7 linked regions of the Ovis aries genome follow. The protein of the gene in region 7 purifies or fractionates together with the protein of the main gene of each other region. This does not show direct contact. Links are inferred from orthologs where the notes say so. Each region holds a gene or a part of one and is shown on either strand. Other genes may lie near its edges.

Region 1 (4,525 bases), on a different chromosome or scaffold from region 7:
GAGGACTCACCCCATGTCTTGGAGGCACCAAAAGGGAAACTGGCCAACCCAGGAGTCAGACTTGGATGTTCAACCCCAGAGGCCCTGGTGAAATATGCCTGGACCTCAGTTTCTTCACTGGCAGAACGTTCTCAAGGGATATTCACCCAATACACAGAGTCCCTCCCACTCTCCCACATCAGATAAACAGTGGGGACGGAGAGCTGGTCTACGGTTACCTCCCAATGTTTTGAGGACCCACAAGAGAGGCAAAGGTGTATAAATAAATTATGTGTTTTAAAAAAATAAATACGTGTTTATGTTGGAGTGCTTTTCACTGACAGGAAGTCTGGAACCACTGCACTGCCCTGCACCAAAGCTATGATGAGGTCACCCCACGATGAACACCCCCCCAAAAAACACCTGCAAAATCAACATCTCCTGAAGGGCTGGCGTGTGCGCTCAATCACGTCCGACTCTGTGACCCCATGGACTATAGCCCACCAGGCTCCTCTGTCAATGGGATTCTCCAAGCAAGAACACTGGAGTGGGCTGCCAAGCCCTCCTCCAGGTCCCGAATCCATGTCTCCTAGGTCTCTTGCATTGGCAGGGGGATTCTTTACCACTGCGCCACCTGGGAAGCCCCCTGAAGGGTTGGGCACAAATGATTTCAAGTGGCATGAGGAGGAACACTTATTATTTTCATAATCGTATATGTATTGAGTTTAAAGAAAATTAGGAAAATGTATATAACCAGCACATCAAACCTGGGGTTTCTGGGATACAGAATGACTCATGTTTTCAGTTTTCTGAACAGTTAATTTACAAATACATACGTATGAACAAAACCACCTCCGAAAAATTGAGAGCTCATTACATGCCAGACTCTAGAGAGTGTTAAACCACTTCCCATACTATCTTTCCAACCCTCACAACAATTCTTTGAGCTGGCACCACTGTCTTATCTGTTTCTCAAGTTGGGGGACCTACTGGTAAGTGTCCTGCTTGAGGTCAAACTAGAATTTAGAGCTGACTGTGAATCCAGGAGGTCTAATTCCAGAACTAGCACTCCATAACACCACCTCCTATTAACTACTACCCCACACCCTTACTGTTGAGGGAATGAGGTTTGGGGAAAATGGCCTGGAAAGCTTTAGAAAAAAATTAAAAAAGAAAGCAAAACACAGCGCCAGCAACTAATATTTATTGTCTGCAACTCGCCCTCAAGTCCTGGGCCAAGCACTTCACACACAGGGCTACTCAATCCTCAAGAGTACCCTCCTCCTTCATCCACAAATGTTCCCTAAGGGCCTACTACACACTGGGCCAGGGTACACTAAAAGAGATTACACAGACAGCTCTGATGGCCCTTGGAGAAGAGATGTGTAATTACAAACAGGAGTAACTCCTAACACAAGAAAGGATCAAGATGACCATGTGCAAAAGCAGCAGAGGGGAGCAATGACTGGTCCCAAGTGGTCCAACACAACCTGGGGGTCCTCCCTAACCCTGAGTAAAAGCCCCCTCTTCCATGCAGCTACCTGATCTCTGGTTCCCACCACTGGCACCAATCTGCTGTGCTCCTCACACATGACAGGCCTCTAGTTGTTCCCACACTTACCACCTGTTCCCCTACAAGACTGAACAGGCTGCTCTGGGCACCCAACCTCCAACTACCAAACACCCAGCTGGGGCTCAACAAGTATGTGTTGAACAAGAATGGAAGAGACTGGACTGAACAACAACGATAGTGCTTCCCTCTTGACAGGAACCATTTTACAGGCTTTCACCGGCTCCATCTGTGCCATTATTCTCATTTCACATATGAGGACACTGAGAAGTTCCAAAAGATTAAGCTATTTGCCTCCTGTCACACAGCGAAGTGACCAGCAACAGCCAGGAGTCAAACTTGAATCAGGCCTGTCATTTAAAAGTGAAAACTTGTTTCAAATTCTTAGGAAGTGGCTCTCACTGCTTATTCCCTACTTTCCCCAATGATTCACTAGGGGGGGAAAATATCAAGACTAGTGTCTTCAAGACCTTCACAAAATACCTTCTCCTGAAAGATTCGCGTTTTAAATAAAAACCTTAATCTGGAAAATCGATTGGCAGAAAGGGGTAAGGACGCAAAACTAAAACAATGCTTTTAACGGCAAACAGTTCTCTCCGTCCTTCCCCACTGCTGCCGACCCCCGGCTTCAGGGCAAACGTTCTCAAGTCACTACTTGCAAGGGGTTAGCAGAGTTATTTACCTTTCCTTGAAAATCTAAAACGACGTGACTTTTAAAAAAATAACCATTCAGGTCGGCTAACCCAGGGGGGCTGCTAATGTTCGTGTCCGGGCGACGCTGGACACACCTGGGGTTTTTCCTACTGAGCTCCGACTGCAGGCTCGCCAAAAGGCAACATTCGAGTCGGACCCGTTAGAACGTAACCAGAAAAGCCCGGACGTCTGGCTATTGTTGCAGCCCCGGCGGACACCGGGATGTGGGCCCCTGGACCGCCGACGGGGCAACGCGCTTTGTCCAGCGACCCCGGCGAGAGCGCGCGCGGGGGGCGCGCGGCCTCCACGCGGCCCTGGCCCCCACCCCGCCGTCCCGCGGATACTGTAGTCGCCGAGGCCTCGCTGCCTGTGGCCTTCCCCGCGCGCGCGGTGCCGGTCAGGCTTCTTGACCCTCGGGCGCCGCCGTACCCCGGCCCGGCTCCGGGCGCCGGCGGCCCCCTCCCCCCTCGGCGCCCCGGCTCCATTCAAACCGTCCTCCCAAGCCCCGCGCCGCGCTCCCCCCGCGACCCACGTTCCTTACCGGGAGTCGCCGGCGCCGTCGCCTTCCCGGCGCCGCCCCCGCCCCTCCACGCGGGGCCGGGGGCAGAATGGGCTTCTCGCTTCTCCTCACGAAACAAAGAAGCAGCCGCCGCAGCCGCCGAGCGAGGGTAAGCCTCGCGCGCGCGCCCGCCTGCCTCAGCCGCCCCCCCACGCTGCCCGCGCCCCCGCTGCGCGCGCACTCGCCACCTCCCCTCCCCCCACCACGAACTCCCACTCGCTTCCGCTGCTGGCCCGTCCTCGTGCGCGTGCCCGCCCGCCCTTCCGCTCCTAGGGCGCGTGCGCGTCTCGCCGGGGTTGTCTGGGAGAGGTGGGTGGGGCCAGAGAGAGCTAGAGCGCCCGACGCGCCTCCCGACTCTGTGTGGGACGGTCATGCGCCTGCGCGCGGTGGTCTCCGTTCCCGCACGCCGCGCGTCTCAAAGCCGCCGAGCATGCGCAGAGCAGGCGGCACTGCGGCGGTGGTGGAGGTGGAGGTGGCAGCGGGAGGTTGGGGGATGGGGTGGGTGGTGGAGAGGTCTGCGGGGAAAGCGTGGCCGAGGGCCCCTGAGACTCAGAAGTGAGGCTTCCAAGGTCGTGCATGAAGGCAGGAGGCGGACAGGCTGGGGCCGGGGATGAGCAGAGCCGGCCCCTGGGCCAAGTGCAGGTCGATGTTCGGATGATGGCGGTGCCCGTTCGGCAAAGCCTGTTACGCAAAGACCGTGGCTATCTTTTCCGCACAACTTACCTAGGGCTATTAGTTTAGCAGATAATCTATTGACCTGCCCCACACTGAGGTACTGTAGTACCGAAGAGAAATCTCAGCCTCTGTGGCGCTCATGGTTTAGTGGGAGAGGCAGGCGCGAGGCAAGAAAACTTAAGTAAAATACACTGTGTTGAAATGGACACGTGAAGGGTCGGGGAAGTTTTAAATGGGGCAGCTAGGGAAAGCCTCTCTGCGAAGACATTTGAGTCAAGACATAAAAGCAGTGAGAGAGAGAGAGCTTTGTTCCAAGTGTGAAGGCCCAGAGACTAGGAGGCTTCATCTCTTAAATTTTGAGAGTATCTCTTGAGTCTGTATTCGTTGTTTCTAGCCCCACAACTGGACAAACGGTTCCCAGGGCCAAGTCCTGGAGCCTGTGACTCCCTACCCCTGCTTCTCTCAGGCCTTCCCCCTCATTTTTCAGGTCTCAGCTGACTCATCACCTCCCCTGGCCTTGCCCCCTCTTTGATCACCACCTCCTTTTCTTTCACATTTCTTGGGTAACCCCTTTAGTATCTGTCTCCCTAACCTCAATTTAAGTGGCGCAGTGTTGTCAATTTTAGTCCCTAGTGAAGAATACCCAATATCTAGTGTGGGGCCACCCTCTGCAACACACTAGACACCTTAAAAATATTCTTTTTTAATTGAAAATATATTAGCTTCTATGGAGTGTGTATCACCAGCACTTTGGGCCTTTCCAAGCCCAAGGTGAGGCCCTTAGAGCATAAAGCAGCAGCTAATATCTTGGCCTGAAGCCAAAAAGACCTGCGTTGAAAACCTGACTCTCCTTAGTACCTGGGGGATGCCAGGCAAGTTTACAGAAGTTTACACTTCTGTTTCTTCACCTGTAAAGTGAAAACAGTGACACCACTCATCTCCACAGGGTTGGTTATGAGGCATCCATGAAAACAGGCCATGGAGAAGCTCTCGGTGACTTAGCTTGTGACGTTGGGTAATGGACAGGAAATGGGCAAGTGAGGTCTAGA
Region 2 (3,913 bases), on a different chromosome or scaffold from region 7:
CCTGGCATTTCATAACATCAAATACTGAAAACACATGGGCTAAGATAATTAGATTCAATAAAACCATTTTTACTATTTCATCCAGGAAATGTTTAAGTTGGCTTATGTGGTTTCTCCAAGTACATGGTAATGAGGACTTAAACGACCCTTAAGACATCTGGTGCTACTTCCTTGATTGACACTAAGGGGCCAGTGGTTTCCCCCCCGTTGCTTTTGTACCGTTGTGCACATGTCAACATAACAAGTAAGACAGTAATGTCCCAGTGTTATTATTTTGATCTCTCAGTTTCTGTGAAGGGGTCTGGTGCTCTGTGAGTTTCCAGACCACACTTAGGGATCCTTTGGGCCTAGGGTGTCGCACGTATCTGTTTTGCTCTAATTTGATTTTGTGAATTGTTCCAACAGTCATGGTTCATGAAAAATTTTAATGGTGTATTAACTTTTCTGTTTTCATTTTACCAGCCTCTTCTACTTTCCTTATTCTCTCTTCTCAGTCTCTTTTTCTCTGTGTCTGTCTATATTCAAAAAGATTGGTTCCTTTTGCGTTTTTACCACTATTTTCATTTGTTCTTGTCTGTCCTTTCAGTGTCATTGGTATGCAGAGAGCTTCTTTCCTGAACTCCTTTTTCTTTAATTCAGGGCTGTCTTGTCTAGTCATATCTGCTTGTGGGTATTGATTTTACCGTTCTCAGTCCTTGTGGGGAAATGTATGGGAAATGCTTTTGTATTGCTCATATAGAATCTGTGGGCTCTGGGAAGAGAGGCAATTGTGCAGTACTGCCTGAAACAGCATTCTCCTATCGGTTCTTTTCCTTGCTGTACATTAATACTCAGGAGTTTTCTTCTTTGTGTCCAACTCTTTGCAACCCCATGGGCTGCAGCACACCAGACCTCTCACTATCTCCTGGAGTTTGCCCAAGTTCATGTCCATCGCATCGGTAATACCATCCAGCCATCTGGACCTCTGGTGCCCTCTTCTCCTCCTGCCCTGAATCTGTCCCTGTATCGGGGACTTTTCCATTGAGTCGGCTGTTCGCATCAGATGACCAAAGTACTGGAGCTTCAACTTCAGCATCAGTCCTTCCAATGAGTATTCAGGGTTGATTTCCCGTAAGATTGACTGGTTAAGATTAGTGGATAGTAAATAAAGAGTGAGGTCAGAATGGCTGAGCTCCTGTTTACCCTCAACATATCCCACAAAGCCACAGATCTCCACACAATAGTGTTTTCTCTCCTGCAGCTGGAGGCTTTGCAACCGGTTGATTTTCCTTTTAAACATGCTGTTGAACCAACAGATGTCTGCACTTACCCAGAGGAATATAAAAGTCTTCCCAACAGCATTGTTGACTATTCACACCTTCTGTTTTTATCGTTTATTTATCGATAATTAATAGCTTAAGAACATGAAGTCAGAGGAAAATTTTTTAATCGATTTATAACCAAAAACTTCATCAATTTCACCGACAAACACATCTGGAAGACTCGTTAGAGTATATTATTGTCCATTCTCCCTCCCCCAAATCAGACCATTTTATCAGACATGCATATCACATAGGCTACTTAACCAGGTATCTTCCTGTGTAATTTTATATTACACTTCAGCTTCCAGTTGTCCTGAAGAAAGGCCTTTTAAAAAATTATGGGGTGTTTTCGTCTACACTCCTCAGCTTTCAGGATCTTACCGACCAGGGATTGCACCTTTGCCCCTCTCAGTAGAGTCCTAACCACTGTACTGCCAGGGAATTCCCCAGATTTTTTCATTTTTCTTTTAATGCTTGGAGTCATGGAAAGTGAGATTCCTTTCCTAATTTAGTTTGGCTACCTGTGATTAAATTCAGCACATTTTATTTGGTACTGTGTTTCAGGCACTGTGGCAGACAGATTGAGATATAGTGTCTACAGTAATTGAGTTCAGTAATAGTCTACTATGATAGAAACTGATTGAAACACGATTAGAGGTATGACGAGACACGTACAGAGGAGTGGCTCTGTAGCTGGCCTGGGTAGATAAGATATAATGGACAGCTTCCTGGAGTAGGGTGCTAGTATTGGTTCTGGTCCATGATATTTCTAGTACAGAACAAACTGTGCATACACACAATACTTAGGATGTGGGATCTGGGTATTCCCGGAACAGTAAAGAATGATGGTGAAGTGGAAGAATTAGCAGATCCCTGTCGTGTTTGACCTTAATTCCATAACATAATGATGAGAACTGAAATAGTTTTAGGCAGGCAAGCGACAGTCTCCTGTGTCACACGTCCAGCAACAGGAAGAAGGATGGATTGAAGGGTAGAGACAGGCAAGTCTAAGAATCCAGGTAAGCAGTGGTGAAGACCCCAGTGATGGCAGGAGGAGGTGTTGCGTAGTGTAAATGTCTGCTGATGACTTTTTTTCTGTATGTCACCCTTTTCCTTCGTGGAGGCCTGTCGCCATGTTGTTTTGAAAACCTCTCTTCATTCTGCCTCTCCTATGTAATGCTTCTGTTGGTGCTCAGGCTCAGAACTTCACTGCTTCTCAGCCTTGTGCTTTTCTGGATGCTGACGGTGGCTTGAATTCTGCATGTCAATTCCTTTGCTTTATTCTGAGAAAAAAACTTCCTGAACTTGCTTTACTTTTCTCTGGCTAAAGGAAAATGAACAAAGGAAAAAGCTTAAAAGTAAGCTCATCTGAAAAGGTTATGCTGGAAAGTATCAAGACAGTCTCTCCTGGATTTTGCTCAAACATGTCCTTTGAGTTGGTAATGCCAGCTAACCATCTCATCGTTTGTCATCCCCTTCTCCTGCTCTCAGTCTTTCCCAGCATCAGGATCTTTTCCAGTGAGTCGGCTGTCATATCAGGTGGCCAGAGTATTGGAGCTTCAGCTTCTGTCTGTCCAGTGGATATTCAGGGTTCATTTCCTTTAGGATTGACTGGTTTGATCTCTGTGCAGTCCAAGGGACTCTGAGGAGTCTTCTCCAGCACCATAATTCTTTGTAATATACACGCCTTTTACATTGTAACATGTATACTATCATGTAAGAATCGAATCGCCAGTCTATGTCCGACGCAGGATACAGCATGCTTGGGGCTGGTGCACGGTGATGACCTAGAGAGATGTTATGGGGAGGGAGGTGGGAGGGGGGTTCATGTTTGGGAACGCATGTACACCCGTGGTGGATTCATGTCAGTGTATGGCAAAACCAATACAGTATTGTAAAGTAAAATAAAGTAAAAATAAAAATTAAAAAAGAAAATAAAAAAATAAAATAAATCTCAAAAGAGAAAATATATATATACACGCCTTTTATTTGTTTTTCTTGACTGAGAATTTAACATAATAAGGAAAGCAATCAGATCTACCTGCTGTGAACAGTATAACTATTTTCATTACTGTTTTTAATTTAAAGCCCATCTAAAGAACAGTCGCAGGTTTCTGATGTCATTAAGTATTACTTCCTTGTTACCTGATAATTAAAGCTCCTGTTTTTTCCATCACAGGCTCTGGAGATGTATAAAGATGATTGGAACAAAGTGTCAGAGCACGTTGGAAGTCGCACTCAGGATGAATGCATCCTTCACTTCTTGAGGCTTCCCATTGAGGACCCATACCTTGAGAATTCTGATGCTTCCCTGGGGCCCCTGGCCTACCAGCCTGTCCCCTTCAGTCAGTCGGGAAACCCAGTCATGAGCACTGTTGCTTTTTTGGCATCTGTGGTGGATCCTCGTGTGGCATCTGCTGCAGCCAAAGCAGCTTTGGGTATGGACTTTCTTAAGCTGTCTCGCGAGTGTAACCATTTCAGAGCATGGTTTCATGCTTTCATGATAGTTTATCTCAGATTTAGGTGTTATCAGCTGTTACACTCATTGCAGTTTTATGTATTACCCCTTAAGGATAGTAGGTTATGTTTGCTAAATAAAGCAGTTAACATAC
Region 3 (3,101 bases), on a different chromosome or scaffold from region 7:
GCCCACTGCCCCCAGGAGGACGCCATCGGCTGCACATGCACCCCACGCCTTCCCCTCCAGGAGCAGCTCCCCTCAGACGCGCGTAGACGAGGGCCTGGCCTGGGCTGGCCGCTCCTTCCTCTCCTGTGCGTCCTCAGAGCGGGCCTGCTGTGGAGGGCATCGCTGCCTGGGCCAAGCACAGGGCTCAAGGGGAAAGGCCCTGCCCCGCGGGGGACAGGACGGGGAGCGGAGCCGCTGGTGAGTCAGCCACGGCCCGAGGTTCAGTATTAGCCCATCTCCTGCAGATGCGGAAGTCACCCTCTCCGATACATACGTCACCCTCTCCGATACGCGTTCTAGTTCTAATAAAGACATTCTGGCTGTTGCCTGCCTCATTCCTTCGACTGCTGAGCTGGCTCAGAATTCAGAAAGGAAGAATGATGCTCTGTGGTGGATACTCACACCCCAGGAGGATATAGTTTTTTCAGCACTGTGAATAACATTAGAAATGTATCGGAGGTGTCTAAAAATCAGTTGTATTTTTTTGGGGGGAGGGGTGTCTCCTGATTCATCTATCTCACAGATGCAAAGCAGGAAAAACTGGGCCATGAGGTGGCTGCTTCTAAAACCAAGACCACTTCTTTAGCTGGACTTTTCTTTTTTGGTAAGTGACAACCAGCAAGATGCCGTGGATTACTCAAGAGACACAGTGTCTCTCCTCTTGAAAAGCTCCCAGTAATGGGCTGTGAATTTTTACGAAACTTCTACAAATGCAACAATTCTGAACGCCCCCCTCCAAATACTTACATCCTAAGCACGAAGGACGGCGTCAGTCATCAACCAGGTCATACATCTGCCCCGTTAAACACAAATCCATCAGAAGAAAACATACCAGCAGACAGAGCTTTTTAAAATATAATTTAAAACTATTTGGTACCAATACAATATATTAATTTTACAAATGTAAAATTTTATCCGCTGTTAAAGCATTTGCAAAAACCACACATCCTACTTCAGCTTTATTGCACAATATCTATAAGAAAATATTAATTTTTAAATTAGAAAACATAGAAATGCTTTCAATATAGAAGAGACAATCTGATTTTAAAGACAATACTCTATAAGAATGTCTACCCAGAAAATAACAAACGTTTCACAGGATACCAAGCTGGCCAGGTGCTTCAGCAGATCCAGGACAAAGCACTTGTTTAAAACCAGTCCGAGATACTTGATCCAAACTGTATCATTCTTCATTAGCAATCTAGACGCCACTCAAGGTGGTCTCTTTAAAAAGTTGAGGCATTTCTCAGCTGTGAGCATTCTGAGTGTCCCTTACACATTGAAACCGTCCTTCCAACTGCATGGCCATCTGCAGGCTTTCCCCTTCACGCAGATTCGCTGGCAACTGTGTCCAATGTCTATCAAATGATCATTTCGATTAGTTTATGCTGATAGAAAACACTGAGTTAGAGACACCTTTAAAACCTAGTCCTTTTACAAAAATCAGTTTATAAATTTGTATCATAAAAATTAGTGTCGAGACCATCAAGATGGCCACTGTTTGCTTTGTATGAGTTGGTTCCCCCAGAGCTGGGGTTGCGATGTCCCACTTCTCAGTGTAGTGTTAATTAGGAAATAAATCCCAGCATGAAGCCGGCATCCCAAGACAGGTTAACAAGGCTGTATGATGGATTTTAGTGGGATATTATTACCCTGTACCAAAGCAGGCATTGAAATACTGACAGAAGGTCTTGGCGGTAACTGAATTCATCTCCAAAATGAATATAGTCTGGAGACGCCAAAGGACAAGTGTCCATAAATACATTATCAGTTGGGCTGAGTGTATTGTAGAAAAGGGGGGAAAAAATCTTATTTGTAAAAAAAAGTGGAGGATTCACTAAATTTGATCCATGATATAGATTATACATCTTTTTAAATTAAAGCATGTTAATTCAATCTCAAGTGTTTTCAAATGGATGCCTTTGTGGCCCAAGAAATTGCCTTTTAGAACTTATGGCCTGCATAAGCAAAGTCAAATATAGTATTACAGACTCGTGTAGAGAAAATAATTATTAAGATAGTGGTCATGCACTCACAAGTTTGTTGCAGGTAGACAGAATTATCAAAAACCCAGACGCTTATAAAGAAGTCTGCATTATTTAGAATTTCTTCTTTAGAAACCAAAGGAGCTGCTTCTCTGGAACCGCATTTTCAGAACTGCTCAAAGCACCTCGTCTAGATGAGTGTTTAAAAATATGTATATAAAGTCCACCATGAGCCTTCACACATCACGCTTCACCTTCTATGGGCTTTTTATCACGTATCCCTTCCTTTAAAGTCCTTCAGAATAAAATAAAAGTAAACTCTCACATTCCATTAGCAAAAAAAGGAAACATTCACGGTCTCAAAATTTTCTGCATTCCCCCAGATCTTGGTACTGTGTGCAACGTCCTCATATACAAGCTGTGAGGAACCCCCTGATCGTCTAGCACTGAACACTCAGCTAATGGACATGCCGTAGGAAACTGACATTGATAGTAGTAAATAGACTAGAATCTATTCCGTAAAATAGAAATGCTCTATGACTTCAATTTAAATACATATCTGAAAAGCTAAGAGGTTTTTTGTTTTTCAAAAGTGCTAATTGTTACAAGTATCTTCAATACATTACGTCCAACTCTTTGTAAAACTAAACCATGCTTTAGGCACACTGTTTGGTGAGTTTCTAAGAAGCAGAGGAAAGAAGTGTCACTTGTCAATTAGCCCAGCTTCCTTGATCTTACTGAAGAAGAATTTCTCCAGGACATTGGCGCACCTGTAGTACTCGCTTTCAGGGGGGTTGTACTCCTTGCAATTAGTAAAGACTCGCTGCAAGTCTGCCATGAACAGCTTCTTAGACACGTAGTACCTATTCTTGAGGCGCTCACTCATGGTTTTCAGATCTACACAGGAAAAAAAATATCAGCAATTTTTGGCTCCTTTCAAACACTCGCTGACACGTGAGACTGGGAAAGAAATGTATCACCAGTCTGCCCACATCTCCACCACCTCAACGGTTTGTCTGAGAGAGATTCACGTGATCAAGGAAAACAGTTCTTGAGGCTTGTGTCCTTTCTTTTGTG
Region 4 (3,913 bases), on a different chromosome or scaffold from region 7:
CATTCCCCCGGACCCCTCCACTCAGCCAGAGTTCCAGAAGCCATCACTCACCATGGGGTCCAGGGGGGGGTACCCCTGGTGGGACGGCCCCAGGCTGGGGGGCTCCAGCTGGTGGCTGCTGCTGTGGCCCCACAGTTGACCCTGCCTGCCCAAGCTGTTCGGAGGGCCCCAAGCTTCCAGGAGGGGCCCCACTGCCCGCAGGAGCCGGGGCCACAGAGGCTGGAGCCATGGCCAAGCCGTGGACAGTGGGTGGCCCAGCAGCACCTGGCGGTGGGATAGGCTGGGAGCCTGGGGGCAGGGCTGGCGGTGGCTGCTGCTGCTGTTGGTGCATCTGCTGGAAGTGCTGCTGCCGGGCCCGCATCTCTGCGTACTTCAGCTGCTCCATGTGGAAGGCTTGCCTGTCGGCCAAGAGCTGCTGCCTCTGGTACTCCAGCTGCCCGGGCCGACGGAGAGCTGTCACCCGGGGGCTGGAGACCCCAAAGGCACACACCTTGCCCCCTGCTTTGTCTTCTGACAAGCCCAGCCTCCCATTCTGGCGATCCCCACACCAAACCTCAGCCTTGTGCTTGGCTTCCGCTGTTCTCGCCTCCCCTCCCCTCTCCAGTTCCCCCCACCAGGTCTTCTGGCTGCCCACATGGCTTCTCACTGCAGTGGACAAGTGGACTTAATCTGGTGGTAGCCTTTGTTCATTTTCAGCTCCAAAGCTTTGAATTTGTCATTACTTTCATCTGGAAACCAACCCCTACCCCACCAACCAACCAAGTTCCTCTAGTCAAATCATGTTCTTTCCCTCCTTCAAAACTGAAGAAAAACTCACAATTCTTAGGAAGCCCTCCCAGATCACCTCACTAGCCTCTGAACTTTGGCCTTTATTCTGCTCTCACTCAGGATTTTTATGCTTGATTGGAAATCTCTCAATTTTCATTTGTCAGATGCTTGAAGCATTAGCCAACTTTGACGTCTCCATATTGGATATCTGATATCTTCAATTGAGGAGTTCAGGATCAGAGTCCTTATCTTCTACTTTTATATCTTCTAAGAATCAAAATGAGTCGACACCATGTCCATCCTGTTCCCTTTCCAACTTTAACCCCTGGCTCTGAAGCCCTTACCCTCTCATCATGCCTTAAACCTGTTTAATCACTCAACAATCACTCCACAGCCAAGTCTACCGTGGACTAAGCACCCTTTAAGGACCTGGAGATGTGGCAAACTTGACCCTGGGGCTGACATTCTGTGGGACCTCAGTCTCCAGGCTGTACCTGTGGGTCACTTGTCCCTAACCGCCCAGGCTGGCTCCTCCTGCCCTGGTCTGGGCTGGTCTGCTCTGCTGTGATACTGTCAGCCTCAGGTTCTCTGTATTGCTGCTCTCCTTGCCCTAAACTGCGGCCCAGCCCACTGCCAAGGTGGGGCCCCGCCAACCGCCAGGGGACTCGACTCACTGCTTCTCGCTCCCGGTCCATGATCGTCTCTAGCTCCTCAAAGTGCCGGAGTTTGATTTCCAACTTTTTCATCTGGGTCTCTACCAGCAGGGCCACCAGAGATTTGATCTTCCTCTCCTCAACGGCAGCCAAGTGCTAAGGAAGGAAGGGTGGGGTGGCCATCAGTGCGAGGACCCAGCTGAAGACACTGGGCAACAGAGAAGGGTGGTGTGGGGGCTGACAGGCTTTAAGACAGAACTTGCTGTGGTCACAACCCAGAGAGTAGCGCAGGCTTGAGTGGTGTTTTTAAAAGAACATGAAAAAAGAGAGGATATCAAAGGATAAGGAAAGGTCAAATAATTGAGAGGGTGGAAACAGGCCCAATCAGGACTTCCCTGGTGGTCTGGTGGTTAAGAATCCACCTTCCAGCGCAGAGGAAGTGGGTTCGATCCCTGGTCAGGGAATTAAGATCCCGTAGGCCGTGGGGCAACTAAGCCCACGTGCCCCAACTGCCATAACCAGAGCCCGTGAGCTGCAATTACTGAAGCCCTCTCGCTCTGGAGCCTGCGCTCTGCAACGAGAGAAGCCCACATGCTGCAACGGAGACCCAGTGCAGCCAAATAAATAAATAAACTGCGAGACAGGCCTAATGATAAAGGCTTAAAAGAGGTAAGAGGTGACCAAGCGTTCCTCTCAGGATCCAAAGGGGACAGGAGACAGGCCAGCACTGGGTAAGGATGACAAGGCAGGCTTCCCTCCAGGTACCGTGCGATGAGGAGCAGCACCTCCTTCCCTGGGGCTGAGGCCTTACCTTGGCCTTCACGGCGGCAGCAGCCAGGGCGGCGGCGGCGGCGGTGGAGAGGTTGCCCTCGCCAATGTCGCGCTCCACCTTCGTCTTCCTCTCCCCCTCTGACTCCACCACTTCGTTCAGCACCTCCTCCTGCCCTTCCTTGGGCTCCTTCTCCTTCTCAGGATCCGCTGGGCCAGGAAAAGGGTCGTGAGCCCTAGAGCCTGGCTTCCTTTCTGAACCCCAACCACCACGTGAGGCTCACCTGTCGGGTCTCCGTCACTCTTTTCTGACTCCTTCTCGCTGTCGCCATCTTTCCCTTTCTCATCGTCCTTCTTGGGTGCCTCACTGGTCTTCTCCTTTGCTTCTTCCTCCACAGTCCCAACTCCTTCTCGAGGTTCCTGGAGTCCCAGGGAAAGGAAAAAGGGGAGTGTCAGGGTGCTGGTTCGCACACAGCGGGCCCAGACCAGGAGCTGAGTTTACACCTCTTATCTGGGAGAGGGCCTGGATCCAGGCTGCGAGCCCCATCCAAGCCCAGCCCTCGCCTGCCCAAGCTCAGTGGAGCCGGCTCCCCTTCCCTGGTCCACGCTGGACCCCTTTGCCTTCCCAGCCCGTGTCAATCCCGCTGTACCTTGGGTTCCTTCTTATCCTCTGTGGCCTGGCCCTCCGCCCGTGCCTCATCAGTCCCGCTCTCCTCTGGGTCCAGGGGAAGAGGAAACAGGAGATGTCTGACAGTTGGTCTACAACACTCTTCCAACTGCCCCTTCTAGCCAAGATCTTACTGAGAGGACCAGTGGGGAGCCACGGTACCTAAAGTAAAGCCCTGAGGAAAATGAACACCCCACCAACTCACCCCATCCGTCTCATGCTCTGAGGTCAGGTGGAGGCAGGGATGGTATGGGGAGGCCAGGCGGCTGAGGCTGCTGGTAAAAAGGGAGGAATTGGGGAACACGGCAAGCCTTACCGATCCTCTCCGGCTCATCGGAGGTGGTCCCTGCGATGCCACTGCTTTCCAGACCAAAGGCTGGGTCTGCCTTGCCTGTCACTTTGGCGGCTTCTTCCACTTTCCTAACGTGGGCCTCCACCAAAGCTGTGGGTACCTCTTCCTTCATTTTGGAGAACTCTTCTGTAAGACCCAGAGAGGGGGAGGCTGGGAGCAGGCAGGTAGGCAGTTCTGGCACTCTCTGTGAGAGCTCCCTCACAAACCCAGCTCTTCATCTCTGCCTGCGTGGAGCTGGACCGTTGCCTGGGCTGATGCCAGCCGCAGACAAGGCCAGTAGGGCAGTGAACTTGAGGGGGTTCCACAGTCAGAGTACCCAGCCTTTCAAATGCAAACCAAGAGGGATGGGAGCCCTGCGCGTTACCTAGGGCTGACTTCGCAGCAGCTGAGGCCACTCGAGGGTCGACGACAGAGGCCAAGAAGGCAACGGTGCTCATCACGGGGTTGCCTGACTGGCTGAAGGGGATGGGCTGGTAGGCCAGGGGGCCCAGGGAGGCCTCTGAGTCCTCCAGGTACGGGTCTTCGATGGGAAGCCGGAGAAAATGCAAGATGCATTCATCCTGTGTGCGGCTTCCCACGTGCTCTGACACTTTGTTCCAGTCATCTTTGTACATTTCCAGTGCCTGGTGGTGGTGGTGGAGACACAACCTCACTTACTCCAGTAGCCACCTCCCTCAAAGGTCAGCGTCCTCAACCCCGCTAAGC
Region 5 (4,685 bases), on a different chromosome or scaffold from region 7:
TCCATGCAGTTCAGGCAAATAGTTCACAAACTAAAACAGTATAGGAAGTCAGGACTAAAAACTTCTCACACTCACAAAAGTCAGGAGTGGGTGGGAAAACACAAAATACTGGAATCGAGGGTTTGCAGTAGCAGGATGAGAGATCTCTAGCTGGATACAGAAATGGCCCTAATCATAAGCCTCAGGTACTGCTCTAAGCACTGAATACACATGGGAAATCTTGGAAACCCCTTGTGGGGATGGTTGAAGAAGGTTAGCTTGGCAGCAGCCTACAGAAAAGCCTAGGTGAGAGAAACTCTGGAAAGCAAACGCATTTGAGGGATAATAGGCAGGACTAAACCTGACAGCTGCATGTGAAGAAAGGAAGATACATTCAAGAGGCATTAATGTAAAGAATAGTTGGGCTTGGGCATGTTTTCGAAGAAAAAGTTACAAAATGACAGGAAGCTAAAGCATGGGAAATCTATGTAAACATAATGGTACTAAACTGTGTACCAAGGACAAGGGACCAATCTCCCCAAAGAAATCTATGTTGGACAGAGCAGAAGGTGGGCAGAAAAATATAAAACTGATACTCAGACAATAAGGAACAAATGCAGACTCTTAAAAATGAAGGTCAAATTATTAAAAAAAAAAAAAAAAAAAGGAGTGTATTTATTTGGCTGCACTGGGTCTTAGCTGCATCTTGTGGGATCTAGCTCCCTGACCAGGGATCAAACCCCAGGCCCCTGCATTGGGAGCTCGGAGTCCCAGCCACTGGACCACCAGGGAAGTCCCTCAATTTATAAATTTTAAAGAGCATTTGAGCATCTTCAGAAGGTATGAAAGGATGAATGGAAACATCAACGTCACCTAGGAGAGCAGGCAGACCAGTTGAGACTTAAGGATAATAGTGCCTGGATCAGCTTTGTATTGAATGCATGCCAGAGTAGTCTGTAAGCTCCTCCAGGGCATGAACTGGGCAATGCTTTGTGTATATAGTAAGCTCAATTCTGTTATTTGAATACATGAACACATTCTGTGCTAAGCTACGTGGAAAAGATAGAACTATGCTATCTGAGTTAATTAGTGGTGTGGAAATGTTACTTGATGCATAATTATACTGATTCTCCTACCTATCCACCTATCTATCTTGCCCCCCTTCTCAGGCAATGTCAAAAATCTGTTTCCTCAAAGGTAGGCCTAGCCTGAAGGGACTATAAGAATGTACTCGAAGGGAATTTCCTGGCAGTCCAGTGGTTAGGACTCCACGCTTCTACTGCAGGGGGAACTAAGATCCTGCATGCCATGCAGTGTGGCCAAAAAAAAAAAAAAGTACTTGGAGTCAGAAAGAAGCCAAATTGGTTTTCTAATTTTGAGGACAAAAATCTAAAAACGAATATGGGCAATGCCAGACAGGTATATATATTAAAGTGTATAGGTTTTGGAACCCCTGAAACCTTTGCTGCAAATCTTAAATCCAGCTTTTAGCAACTGAGTACTTATCCTCTTCACACCTGTTTTCTCTTCTGTAAAATGGGGCAAACGCCACCAGCCCTCAGGGTTTAGTTGTGAGGATCAGATAATGTACTTTGGTGTACTTTATGCCTCTGTATCATAATAAGCTCTTAATAGACAATAGCTATTAATAATAACTGGCACCCTAAGTCTTGAAATGTTTTTAAAACACTGTGTTCAATTAGAGAAATAAAAATGTATTCACTTTATTTTAGTTGCTTTCACTAAGGCTCTACATCTCAGTTTTTAGTAGTACAGTTTGAATGCTAACAAAGCTTTTCACTCCCCCTTCCATTGGGTAGGTGATGACCACATACCCCATCCTGATTTAATATTTTGGAAAACATAACACTGTCCCTCGAAACCAGCCTCACAGACGACCGATTCAAACTACTGTCACTCAAGAGATGGAACCTCTCTATCGATGTTCCTTCGAGGAAATAAAATCGTTTGATCAATTCAGAGTCACTTCCATTCAAACATTCCAAACCCCGCAGAGTGAGCAAACGTTCAAGTTTCTACTACCAAAACAATCCGCAGCCTTCTGGTGAGTGGATTTCACTTCTGCGTTCCCCAGACGCACGAAAGAAACATTCCACACATCTTAGTGCCTCCTTGTCCTCACACAAAGCTTCGCAGCAGCTCCTCTTCCAAAGCCACCCCCGGCTGGAGAAGCAGCCCCACTCGGCCGGGTCAAGCCGATGTCAAAGGCCAGGCAGGCCTCGCTGACCCCAAGGGTCTCTGCCACACACATCCCCTCCCATTGCTGGGGGAGGCCTGGAGGCTCAGAGCGCACACCCCGCCCTGGAAGCTTCCTCCGACCCCCTAACCCCGCCAGGGCCCCCGATGCCTGGAGGACCAACTCGATCAGGGTGCGGTGCCTGGGACAACGCCACGCAGCGCCTCGCGGGAACCGGGGAGCAGCCCCAGCTCTGCCGGTCTCGGCCAGTCTCACACCCTCCGCCCCTCGGCCCGCGCCCACTCGCTCCCCAGAGGGCAGCCCAGGACCCCGGACGGCTTCGCCCGACGCCACCTCCCCGTGAAGAGCCAGCAGCCGCGGCGGCTGCGGGCTGCCGGGCACGTTCACCCGCGCTCAGACCCACGCCTCTGCCCCGCCTCCGCTGCCCGCCCGCGACTCGCGAGGCGGCGGCCAGACCAGGAAAGCCCGGCCCGGGTGCCGCCACCTGCGCCCCCGGCCCCGCGCCATGTTTGAGAAAGAGAAGGAGTGAGCCAGAGGCCGGGCCCGGCCCGCGCACCCCGAAGCTTCCCGCCAGCCCTGCCGCGCCACTACTCACCCGTTGCCTCCGGGACCAGCGTGGCCGCCGCCGCCAGCATGAGGAGGAGCAGCCGGGGACGCGGAGTAGCGGCCACTGCCTCCATAGTCCCGCTGCCACTGCCTGTGGCCCGGCCCGGCCCGGCCGCCGCCTTGCCTCAACAAGCCTCGCCTCGCCCCACCTCCCCTGCCGCGGCGGCGGCCTTGCTTCGGCCCTTTGTAACTGCTCGGGGGCTGCCAGTCCATTGGCTGCAGGGCTCCCGCCGGCCCCGCCTCCGTGCCGTCTGCGAACTGCAGAGCCGGACCCAAGCCGAAACCCCGCCCACGTGCCCGCTGGGAAGCCAATCCGGAGCCGCAGGCGCCGGGCTGCTGGCCACGCCCCCAGACTCCCCCGGGGTCGAAGAGACAGACCCCTGCCCCAGTCGGAGCCGCTGGGAGCTAGAAGGCCGGGTGGGGGCAGGGTCTAGCGAGGCTGGCACAGCCTTACCTCCAGCCACAGAGGGCGAGGGCTAGACGATGGGTGTGTCTGGGTGTGAGTTGGTTTCGGAAAAAGGCTGTGGCAGCTCAAAGCTCTATTCTTCTAGCCTTTTTTCTTCTCATTTAAGATCTGGTACTGAGCCTGACCCCGATTCACAGTCCTGCACCGTCAATCCCCCACACATTCACCCAGATCCTTAGTATCGTCGGGCAGGCTTCAACTTCCCCTTTCCAGATCCACGCCTCAACTTTCAACACCATCCCCCCACCCCAAGATCCTACCTCAGTGCTTTTCAGATACGACCCAATCTCCTGTTTCCTCCCACTGTCATTGTCCACCCCAAACCTAGATTACCCTCACCCCGCAAAAAAAAAAAAAAAAACACACAACTAAAGAAAGTCTCCAAATCCTGGCCTCAGATCCCCCTCAGACACAGATCCCGAGCTCAGACACACCCCCGAATTGACTCCCGCCTCTCTCCGGAATTCAGAGCTGAGCCAGACAGGACTCCAAACCACACTCCTTTCCCCTTCTCCCTTCCTGATCCAGGTGAGAAAGGGAAGGTTCCCACCCCCATCCCCCAAGGAGAGGGATTCCCCCTTCTTAGCAGGCAGCACCCCGGGAGCGGAGGAGGAGCAGTCATTACTTTGAGCTGCCTCTGACACGCCTGCACAATAATTCTGAGGTGTCACTAGAAACCTAAATAAACTCAGCTACGTTTTCATTCTGAATTCCTAATTTACTGTGAGACGCTCCACCCACCTTTCCTCTGGGACGCCAAAATGAGCTCCAGATTTGTAATTCTTCCTGTCAGACTAGTCCTCTCTTCAGACACAAACACAGCCGAGGAGGCTGTTACATAGAACAGAACATTTTTCCACAGGACCTTTCAGGGAGAAAATTTTATTTTCTGTGTGATTCGAACTTGAAATTAAATAAAGCCTTGGTAGCAGGAATCAGAACCAGCCTCTACTATCGATTTGTAAATTGGTTTAGGGCTACCGGGGTGAGCATTTTACAAGCCTGTGAAGACCTCCCTCCTGAGCAGTAAAGGGGCAGGGCGCGGGTGTTGGAACTGAGATCTGAGATGGGCACTATTCCCCTTCTGGCTTGAACACCTTTTTGAGCAAGCCAGTTAACCTTTCTGAGCCTCCATTTCGTCATCTATAAAATGGAAATAATATCTATCCCCCAAGTTTTAGTGAAGAGACTATGTTAAGACTTGGGGGCTCCCCTTCTTCCCTCTGAAATTCTGCTGATAGACTTTCTCTCTGGACCCCTCACCTGCTCCTCTCCTCTGGGCAAGTAAGGAGCTGGTATACATACAAATATACATACACCAGACCACCTAACCAGGGATGTAGCTACTGCTGGAACCAAGGTCACAGCCTGCTCTCTGGCGCTGCCTGAAATCACCAGCAAGATGCTTTGTTCTTA
Region 6 (3,913 bases), on a different chromosome or scaffold from region 7:
ATAGGCATCATATCTAATAGTTGAAACTGCAAAGTATTGGTTTGAAGCTGGTTGAAAGGAAAAGTACAAAGAAACATACATTTTCATTCATTTGGAAAATGTAAAAATTTATATACTAATATATAATCTCTTCACTTTCTCTGATCTACAAATGGATAGAATGCCGTTATTTCATGCAGATAAATTGTTCAGAATCCATTTACCAAAGTAAACAAACAAATAAAAATAAACCCTGTTGGGAACACACAGATGGATTTCTTTGAAGGTTTCTATTCTTTAGCAGTCTTTGATGATTTCAAAATTTGCAGCTTTAGCTCTTTTATCATCTTCTCTAACTTCTGCCTTGCCTCCCGTTCCTGTCTGAGTTCGTCTTGGAGTTCTTGCCTATCAGCCTCAGCATGGTCCAGTCTCTGTCTCAGCTCTGCCAGCTGTGTGATTTAGAAGACTGTGTCAGTTTTCCATTCAGTTTTGGTTTTCCATTACTTCTCACATCATGGCAAAGACCTACTTGCAAATCATTTTTGCAAAAATGAACTATTTCATGCATATTATAATCTCTTGAATATCCAATACTATTAATCTGACTTTGAAATGACCTTAAAATGAGGGCAAAACAAAGGGTCAGGGAACTGAACACTTAGAACACTTTCATTATGCCTTATACTCTGGTATACCTGTTACCACAGCATGATCAGATTAGGAGTTATTTGTTCATCTTTCCCAAGTTGTGAGCTACTATCCACTTTTGCCCCAAGGCTTATGAACATAGTAGGCAACAGTTTATGTTTGTTAAGCCATTGATTTGAAAGCCCATGTATTACATTAAAATAACATTGATACTCAGATAGCTAGAGATTAGCAATTAGGACAACTAAACTATAGAAATCCAATAAAAATTTAAAGTAATGCAACAACTAAGATCCAAACAATCATCTTGAATGATACAGCATAAAATTGTGTTTAACAGAATTATCTATTTTGAAGTCTAGCCTAAATGAAACAAGTTAACAAAAAGTAATTTCTTTAATGAAATTAAAGTAACAGCTTCAATTTCCACATTGAAAAGGCAACACTATACAAACTGTGTAATTCTTACCTGTGCTGCATATTCAGCCTCTTTATCTTTTTCTAAATTTGAGTCACAGGTACATTTTTGCTTCATTACCTGCTCTAGTTTTTTCTCTAAGTCTTTCTGTTCAACATGAAATTCTTCCATTCTTTGAGCATGTTCATTCTGCAAAGATTCAAGCTCTTTCTGTAAATTCTGCTGTTCTTCAGTAAGTTCCTTCATAGCTTTTGAACTACTCAACATTTCAACTTCCTGTAATTTAAAGAGTCACAATATAATTTTTACTTTATTTCTATCACATTAAACCTTTCAATTCAGAAAAAAACAGGACAGAAAGTATCTATTACAAAACTGAGGTGTCATATCAATTCTATACATAAGTAGCTATCTTAAAAACTATTTTCTCTAAAAATTTAAAAGTATATTAATATTTCTTGTAAGTATAAAACTGAACAATATTAAAACATTTACAGCATCTTATCTTGAAGAATATGCTAAAGTATTTTTTCACAATGGACTATCATTTAAATAACAGTTTTACCATCTGAAGTTGTTGCTTCTTCTGTAAAACTGAGTTCAGTTTTTCCTGTTGTTTTACGTAAGTTCTCACTACTTCTTCCATGATTTTTCCCTTATCGTCCTCACAAGTGACATCTTTGACAAGAAATGGAGATGAAGCTGCAACATCACAGTCAGTTCCTGATTTGCTTGTGTCTCTGGCTAAGCTGCAAGTGGCAGCCTCAGGTTTCTTTTTGCTGGTAGAATTATTCGAGACTGATGGATCTTCAAAGGCAAAAAAGAAGTAACAAAGTATAAATACCACTCTGTCAAAAGTCACTAGAATGATCCATAAATGAAATTAAGAAAACAATTTCATTTATAACCAAATAAAAAAATAAAGATACTTAGGAATAAACTTAACAAAAGTAGTATAAAACTTATACAACAGAAACTATAAAATATCATTGAAAGAAATAAAAGACCTAAATAAATGGAAAGGAATCCTATGTTCATGGACTGGAAGACTTAATATCATTAAGATGTATCATGATCTCCAAAATTCCTATGCTGAAATCCTAACCCCCAAAGTGATGGTATTAGGAAATGAAACCTTTAGGAGATAATTAGCTCATAAGGGTAGAGACCCCTTGATGGGATTTATGCGCTTATAAAAGAGACTCCAGAGAGCTCTCCCACAATTTGGGTACATAATGAAAAGACAGCCATCTATGAACCAGGAGGCAAACCCTTGCTAGACCAAATCCACTAGGGCCTTGATCTTAAGACTTCCCAGCCTCTAAAACAGTGAAAGGGTAAGTGTCTATAGAATAAGCCACCCAGTCGTGTTATTTTTGTTATAAATGGTAGTCTCAAACTGATCTACTTTTTCAATGCAGACCCTATCAAAATTTCACCTGGCTATGTGGCAGAATTTGGCAAACTGATCCTAAAACTCACATGGAAATAAAAGGAAACCAAGATAGCCAAAGTAATCTTGAAAAAGAAAAACAAAGTTGGAGGACTCACAATCTCCAATAGCAAAGCTTGTTATGAAGCTACAGAAATCAAAACCGTGTGTGGTACGGACATAAAGAGTGAATCCAGAAATAAACATATACTTTTACAGGCAACTGGTTTTTAACAAGGGGGCCTAAACAATTCAAAGAGTAACAGTAGCTTTTTCAACCATGTTGGGACAACTGTATCTATATACGATTGAGGTTGAACTTCATATCTTATATAAAAATTAATTAAAAATATATGATTGAGATTGAACTTTACATCTTATATAAAAATTAATTAAAAATGGATCACAGACTTAAACTTAAGAGCTAAAATTCTTAACTGGATTAAGCAATCGTTTCTTAGACATGACACCTAAAGTAAGCAATCAAAGTAGCAACAAACTGGACTTCATCTGAATTTAAAACTTCTGTGTTTCAAAGGACACTACCAAGAAAGTGAAGACAACAGACACAATGGCAAATCCTCTATCTGGTAAGGCTCTAGTACCCAGAATGTACACGTAACTCTTACAACTCAGTAATAAAGAGACAACCCAATTTAAAAATAGGCGAAGGATCTCAACAGGTACTTCTCCAAAAATTTGCAATGCAGACTTCCCTGGTGGTCCAGTGGCTAAGACTCTGCACTCCTAATGCAGGGGACCTGGATTCAATCGCTGGTCAGAGGACTAGAGTCCACATGCTGCAACTGAGAATGCGCATGCAACTAAAGATCCTACCTATGTGCCGCAACTAAGACCTGGCACAGCCAAATAAGTAAAACAAATATTAAAAAGGAGAGAGAGATTTGCAGTGTCCAAAAAAACCATGAAAAGATATTCAGTACCATCAGTCAACTTGGAGAACTGCAAATCAAAACTATGAGATATCACTTTACAACCACGAGGATGGCTCTCCTCAAAAGACAAACAACGACAACTGTTGGCAAAGATGTGCAGGAACTGGAAACCTCAGAGACCGTTGCTAGAAATGAAAATGGTATGGTTGCTTTGAAAAACAGTTTGGCAGTCCCTCAAGATATTAAACATAGAGTTACCATATGACCCATCAATTACACTCCTAAATATATAGCCAAGAGAAATAAATACATATGTTCATATTAAAACTTGTGCTTAAGTGTTCATAACAGCATTAGTCGTAACAGCCAAATGTGGACATATCCAAATGTCCATCAGCTGATGAATGGATAAACAAAACAGGGTCTTATCCATCCACACAACAGAAAGTTACTAAGCCATAAACAGGGAAGAAGTGCTAATACATGCTATAACATCTACTGAGAAAACATCCTTAGTGCAAGAAGCCAGGCAACAGAAGG
Region 7 (4,405 bases):
GGACAGGGCAAGGAGAAATGAAGACTTCCCACTTCTCGAATTCCATTAAGGAACAGGGTATACTTGTTCCCTGTTACTTTATTGCCTAGTTCAGGGCTTGACACACAGCAAAACATCATTTTACTGTTTAATAAATGAGTAAATGTTACCTGTTCAATAAATATAAGTTACTTGTTGAATAAATGCATAACCTTGCCTGGACTGGTTTTGAAATCTTTTTAGTTCACATTTTCTTGACATACCTTTGTGATACTTAGTGGAAAACATCTACAGATAAAAATGGCTCCTCTACTCCCATCAAAAGACATGCCCCTCTCCAGCCTCTAAAAATGACTCTTGTCCCAAGAATATGAATAAGGCTCCATCTGCCAGACTGCACTAAATACAGATTTTATATGCATTACAGAAACACCTGTATAAAAAAGCTGCTACAAAAAACGAGGCCTCAGAAGTCCTAAAGTACAAAACCAAACAAGAATAAGGAGTGCTTTCGGACCTTTAAAAAAGCCACAGTTGAAAATATCTGCAAAATAACTTCTTTGCAGGTCTTTGATCAGGTTATGCAGCTGAACTCTTCTGTCACTCAGATTTTCCCTCAATGTGAAGTAACAAGATTTCAGCAACACGTTTGAGGTATTTACAGTATGAAAATGAAAAGGGGACCTTTTGCCATCTTGAAGTAGAAACCACCTTTGTTCTTACTAAAGAGAATTTCTGCTGAAATATACAAAACTATCCCCAAATTCCTACTTAAGAGTTAAAGCACATACCAAGCCTGACAAGCCACAAACAACAGGAAATTACTCTGCACAGTTTCTTGCAAACTATTATTTCATGAACCTTACAGATGTGTGTGCAGAGATTTGACCATTTATGACTAGATACAGGTAAGTTACAACTTTAAAAAGCCAAACTTTGCTGAACACTTAGAATGTGAAATCACTAGAAGGTATAGCTACAAAGTATAAAAACCAAGTTCTAACAGCACTTTCATACTAAAAAAAAAAAAGCCCAGAATGGATGTTTCCGAACACCTTACATTAATTAAAATAGACCAATGAACTACTTCAAACTCAACTTTAACATTAAGGGTTTAAGTGGGCACTCATCTTAGAAATGCCAATAGATTTGAACTGTTCTTATTTACTACAACAACTAATTTTACAGCAGAAAAAAAACTTAAGAAACTTTAAAAATAAAATCAGTGTTGGTCTCTGACTTTGATATAAATGTTTGCTAAATGAACTTCTGGTGGAGAAAATTCTATCAATATCTTGTATGGTACTTTTTTTTAAGGCAAATAAAAAAACATCTTCAAACTATGACACATTTATGAGGCCCACTTTACATTATTTCTTTCATCTCTAGAATATTTGCTTCATTTACTTGTTCACAACTTCCCAAATTTAACTATTTACCTTACACACCCCCTAACCCTAACTTTTTTAAGGGATCAAAACTAGAACAGCTAATGTATTATCAAAATAATAGAGTGTATTATCTATTTGTCTCAAGGAAAGCACCCTTACAATCAGTGGTGAAGGTTCAATTCATATGAAACCAGAAGATGGAATTTTTGAAAAGATGCAATTACTCCAAGCAAGTTCGCGAGATCATTTATTTATTCACAACAAATTTAGCTGTGTCGTGCTAAAACACCACAATTTAGGAAACCCCAAACTGTAACAAACATGACAAGACTGATGGAAAAATGCTACCTCATTTTCGTTTTACCTGGAAACGTCTCTTTTTAAATAAAGGGTTAGTTGACAACAAACCGGCAGTATTTAGCTTTTTTAAGGGTCAAGAGGAAGGAATAACAAAACCAACCTAACTACTGTTTTTTTCTTTTGTTCAGGATCAAAAGGAAACCATTAACCACGAAAGGATTAAGTAAGTAGAAAACAAAAGTACTCAATCTAAGGGCAGTATTCCCCAGGAGAGAAGAAAACAATTAAAGCTGCAGGATTTGAAAACCAAGTTTGAAATACGTTGAAATCAATTAGCTTGCTCTCTAAAGGCGTGTGATTAAAAAAAAAAAACTAAAACTAATAGGCTCCGCTCACAAGAGCAACTTTCACAAGCTAGTGGAGAAGTTATGTGGACGGAGTACCAGCAGTGTGCGTGTTTGTGTGAGAGCACACGCTCGCGATTCTGAACCCCGAGACCAGAATGGTTAACAAAGGTTACAGCACCAGGGAAGTGGGGGGGGGGGGAGTGGAAGCAAAGTCTCGCATGCTCCTAACTCGGGCTTCCCAACAAGTCCCCGAAACCAGAGCCTCGTCCCTGCGGGATTTGAAAATCACCACCACAAACTACCGAGGGTGACCGCCACGGAGGAGGAGGGGACGGGCCGGGCCACACAGCCGGCCCCCGCCCCGGGCCGCGCGCGCGGGCGGGCGGGCGAGCGGGCGGGTGGCTCCCAGCGCCGACCCCCGTCCCCCCGGCCGCCCCGCCCCGCACTCCCGCACCCCGCGAGCCGCCAGGCGCCTCGCCACACCCCGGCCCCTCGGCCCGGCCAGGTGACGCGGCCGGCCCGCCTCACCGACCCCGAGCCCCACAGAGACACACCCCGGCCCCGAGGCCCCGCCGGGCGCCGCGGCGTTACCTGGACCGAGGCTCCGGGTCCCGCCCCGTCAAGAGTCCGGGGGGGTCCGGGACCTTTGTTCCTTCCTCTTCCGAAAGGGATGGAGGGGCCGGGAGGGGAGAGGGGAATGGGCCGACTGGAGGCGGAACTGAAAACACTCTGGCGGCCGCCCCGCCCCCCCAGCCGGAGCCCGGCCGGCGGCCCCGGCGCGCGGGGAGGGGACGGGAGAGGGGGCGGCGCGGGCCCGGCCGCCGCCCGCGGGGAGGAGGGGATGGGGACGCGCGTCCCGCCGCCGCCACCGCCGCCCCTCCTCCCCTCGGGCGCGCGCCCGCCCGCCTCGCCCCCACCCGGGCGGCCCCCGACGGCCGAGCCGTCCTCCCCCGCCGCGCCCGCCGGCCCCACCTCCGCTTCCGCCCTGCGCCCTTCGCCGCCGGCCGCAGCGGCGCGGCGCACCCACCTCCGGGCGGCTCGCTCGGCGCTCGCTGGCTGGTGGCTGGGAGCTGCTCCTCCGCCGCCGCCGCCGCCGCCGCCGCCGCGGCCGCGCGGTAGCCCCGCCTCCCACCCCGGGCCGCGAGCCCCGCCGATTCGCCGGCGCAGCCCCGGGGGGCTGGCACCCTGCCGCCCGCTGATTGGCGCCCCCGGACGCCCGTTAGGGGCGCGAGGTACGCTGGCCGAGCGCGCGGCCTTGGGGGCGCGCGCGGAAGACCCGGGCAGCGAAGAAAGAGAAGGGGTTAGGCCCGAGCGCCCGTGTTAGGGCCAGGGCGCGAGCTGTGGGCTCTGAGAGGCGCGGGCCGCTACCTCTCCCCACCTCCTTTCCCTCCGGCCTCCCCGCCCTCCCGGCCGGACCGGCGGCGCACGCAGCCAATCAGCGCGCTGGCTGCTCGGGGTGTGAGCCGCGCGTCGGGGGCCTCGAATCGGAAGGGAGACGTCGCTCTCTGATTGGTCCCGCCTCCCCCGTAGAGCGTGAGGCGAGGCGCGGCCGGGCGGGCGGCGGAGGACTTAGGCGGGGTGGGATGCCCGCGGTTTCGGTTGGCTTCTTCTCTGGCGCGCTCGCACGGGAAACTCTGGGAAAGGGAGTGGGGGGCGGGGAGGGGAGGCGCGTAACCTGCCGTGAGGGCGACCACCTTTCCGTCCTGATCGCGGCTGGTCCTCCGTCCCCGTCTCTGGCCGGCACCACTGGGTGGGGCCTGTCGGAAGCCGCCGCCCGGCCCACCTTCTCTGTAGTCAAGCCTGGAGTGGAGGCGTGCTTATCCTCGGGGTGGGAGGCCCCGACGGTGGGCGAGCTAAGGGGCCGAAGAGGGGTGTGCCAAAGCCTGCGTCCTGGACCCACGCGTGGGGCACCCTGTGCGAATGAGTGGGCGCGGCCCTCGTGGTGGTAAACGGGGGCGGGGTCCGAGATGTAAATAAGCCCGGGGCCGAGCTCTTTGCTTGGGCTGTAGGGTCTGGTGGGGAGGCGGGGGCGGGGGGGGGGGGGGTGGTCACAGGTATTTTTGTTGAACGGAAACTTGGTCCTGTCTTCGTGAAAAAATGGTGCTCGTTTTGCGTGTTCTGAATGCTCCTTGTGAAGTCTAGAACGCAAGTGCCTGGCACGATATCCCACAATTGCTGAGTTATTTGCCCCGTTCTTCATTTCTGCACTGCTCAGGCGCTGTTCTTAGACCCCATCCTCGCACGTCTGCACTGCAAAGCCTCTAAGCTGCTAGAAACTTTGGTCGCCTTTTCCTTGCAGACCCCGAGCCTCTGCCTGAAATCTTGAACCCAGCCAGTCATATTAAGCGATTATCAAGCATGTACGATGTTAGGCAGAGAACACCATAG

The links.
Region 1: the proteins of SMAD2 (region 7) and SMARCA4 purify together in Homo sapiens (affinity purification with mass spectrometry; 3 studies listed by BioGRID, with this or other methods). This does not show direct contact. The link is inferred for Ovis aries from reciprocal best matches to the Homo sapiens genes SMAD2 and SMARCA4.
Region 2: the proteins of SMAD2 (region 7) and SMARCC1 purify together in Homo sapiens (affinity purification with mass spectrometry; 3 studies listed by BioGRID, with this or other methods). This does not show direct contact. The link is inferred for Ovis aries from reciprocal best matches to the Homo sapiens genes SMAD2 and SMARCC1.
Region 3: the proteins of SMAD2 (region 7) and KAT2B purify together in Homo sapiens (affinity purification with western blotting, with the first as the bait; 3 studies listed by BioGRID). This does not show direct contact. The link is inferred for Ovis aries from reciprocal best matches to the Homo sapiens genes SMAD2 and KAT2B.
Region 4: the proteins of SMAD2 (region 7) and SMARCC2 purify together in Homo sapiens (affinity purification with mass spectrometry; 3 studies listed by BioGRID, with this or other methods). This does not show direct contact. The link is inferred for Ovis aries from reciprocal best matches to the Homo sapiens genes SMAD2 and SMARCC2.
Region 5: the proteins of SMAD2 (region 7) and TGFBR1 purify together in Homo sapiens (affinity purification with western blotting; 8 studies listed by BioGRID and IntAct, with this or other methods). This does not show direct contact. The link is inferred for Ovis aries from reciprocal best matches to the Homo sapiens genes SMAD2 and TGFBR1.
Region 6: the proteins of SMAD2 (region 7) and SKIL purify together in Homo sapiens (affinity purification with western blotting; 8 studies listed by BioGRID and IntAct, with this or other methods). This does not show direct contact. The link is inferred for Ovis aries from reciprocal best matches to the Homo sapiens genes SMAD2 and SKIL.

Annotation. Positions count from the first base shown.
Region 1 is NC_056058.1:13,255,386-13,259,910, reverse strand, and holds the start of SMARCA4 (transcription activator BRG1), read right to left. Parts: upstream 3,073-4,525; 5' UTR 2,784-3,072; exon of another isoform or gene 2,712-2,783; intron 2,642-2,711; exon of another isoform or gene 2,587-2,641; intron 1-2,586. UniProt on the Homo sapiens protein: ATPase involved in transcriptional activation and repression of select genes by chromatin remodeling (alteration of DNA-nucleosome topology).
Region 2 is NC_056072.1:52,033,883-52,037,795, forward strand, and holds part of SMARCC1 (SWI/SNF complex subunit SMARCC1), read left to right. Parts: intron 1-3,480; coding exon 3,481-3,739; intron 3,740-3,913. UniProt on the Homo sapiens protein: Involved in transcriptional activation and repression of select genes by chromatin remodeling (alteration of DNA-nucleosome topology).
Region 3 is NC_056054.1:278,383,466-278,386,566, reverse strand, and holds the end of KAT2B (histone acetyltransferase KAT2B), read right to left. Parts: exon of another isoform or gene 2,922-3,101; coding exon 2,728-2,921; 3' UTR 2,320-2,727; coding exon of another isoform or gene 2,268-2,319; 3' UTR 881-2,267; downstream 1-880. UniProt on the Homo sapiens protein: Functions as a histone acetyltransferase (HAT) to promote transcriptional activation. Has significant histone acetyltransferase activity with core histones (H3 and H4), and also with nucleosome core particles.
Region 4 is NC_056056.1:163,371,956-163,375,868, reverse strand, and holds part of SMARCC2 (SWI/SNF complex subunit SMARCC2), read right to left. Parts: intron 3,832-3,913; coding exon 3,573-3,831; intron 3,335-3,572; coding exon 3,173-3,334; intron 2,905-3,172; coding exon 2,840-2,904; intron 2,610-2,839; coding exon 2,474-2,609; intron 2,400-2,473; coding exon 2,233-2,399; intron 1,578-2,232; coding exon 1,443-1,577; intron 434-1,442; coding exon 52-433; intron 1-51. UniProt on the Homo sapiens protein: Involved in transcriptional activation and repression of select genes by chromatin remodeling (alteration of DNA-nucleosome topology).
Region 5 is NC_056055.1:48,774,309-48,778,993, forward strand, and holds the start of TGFBR1 (TGF-beta receptor type-1), read right to left. Parts: upstream 2,965-4,685; 5' UTR 2,878-2,964; coding exon 2,793-2,877; intron 1-2,792. UniProt on the Homo sapiens protein: Transmembrane serine/threonine kinase forming with the TGF-beta type II serine/threonine kinase receptor, TGFBR2, the non-promiscuous receptor for the TGF-beta cytokines TGFB1, TGFB2 and TGFB3.
Region 6 is NC_056054.1:217,718,154-217,722,066, forward strand, and holds part of SKIL (ski-like protein), read right to left. Parts: intron 1,853-3,913; coding exon 1,611-1,852; intron 1,322-1,610; coding exon 1,097-1,321; intron 429-1,096; coding exon 270-428; 3' UTR 1-269. UniProt on the Homo sapiens protein: May have regulatory role in cell division or differentiation in response to extracellular signals.
Region 7 is NC_056076.1:47,913,291-47,917,695, forward strand, and holds the start of SMAD2 (mothers against decapentaplegic homolog 2), read right to left. Parts: upstream 3,148-4,405; 5' UTR 3,045-3,147; intron 2,749-3,044; exon of another isoform or gene 2,609-2,748; intron 1-2,608. UniProt on the Homo sapiens protein: Receptor-regulated SMAD (R-SMAD) that is an intracellular signal transducer and transcriptional modulator activated by TGF-beta (transforming growth factor) and activin type 1 receptor kinases.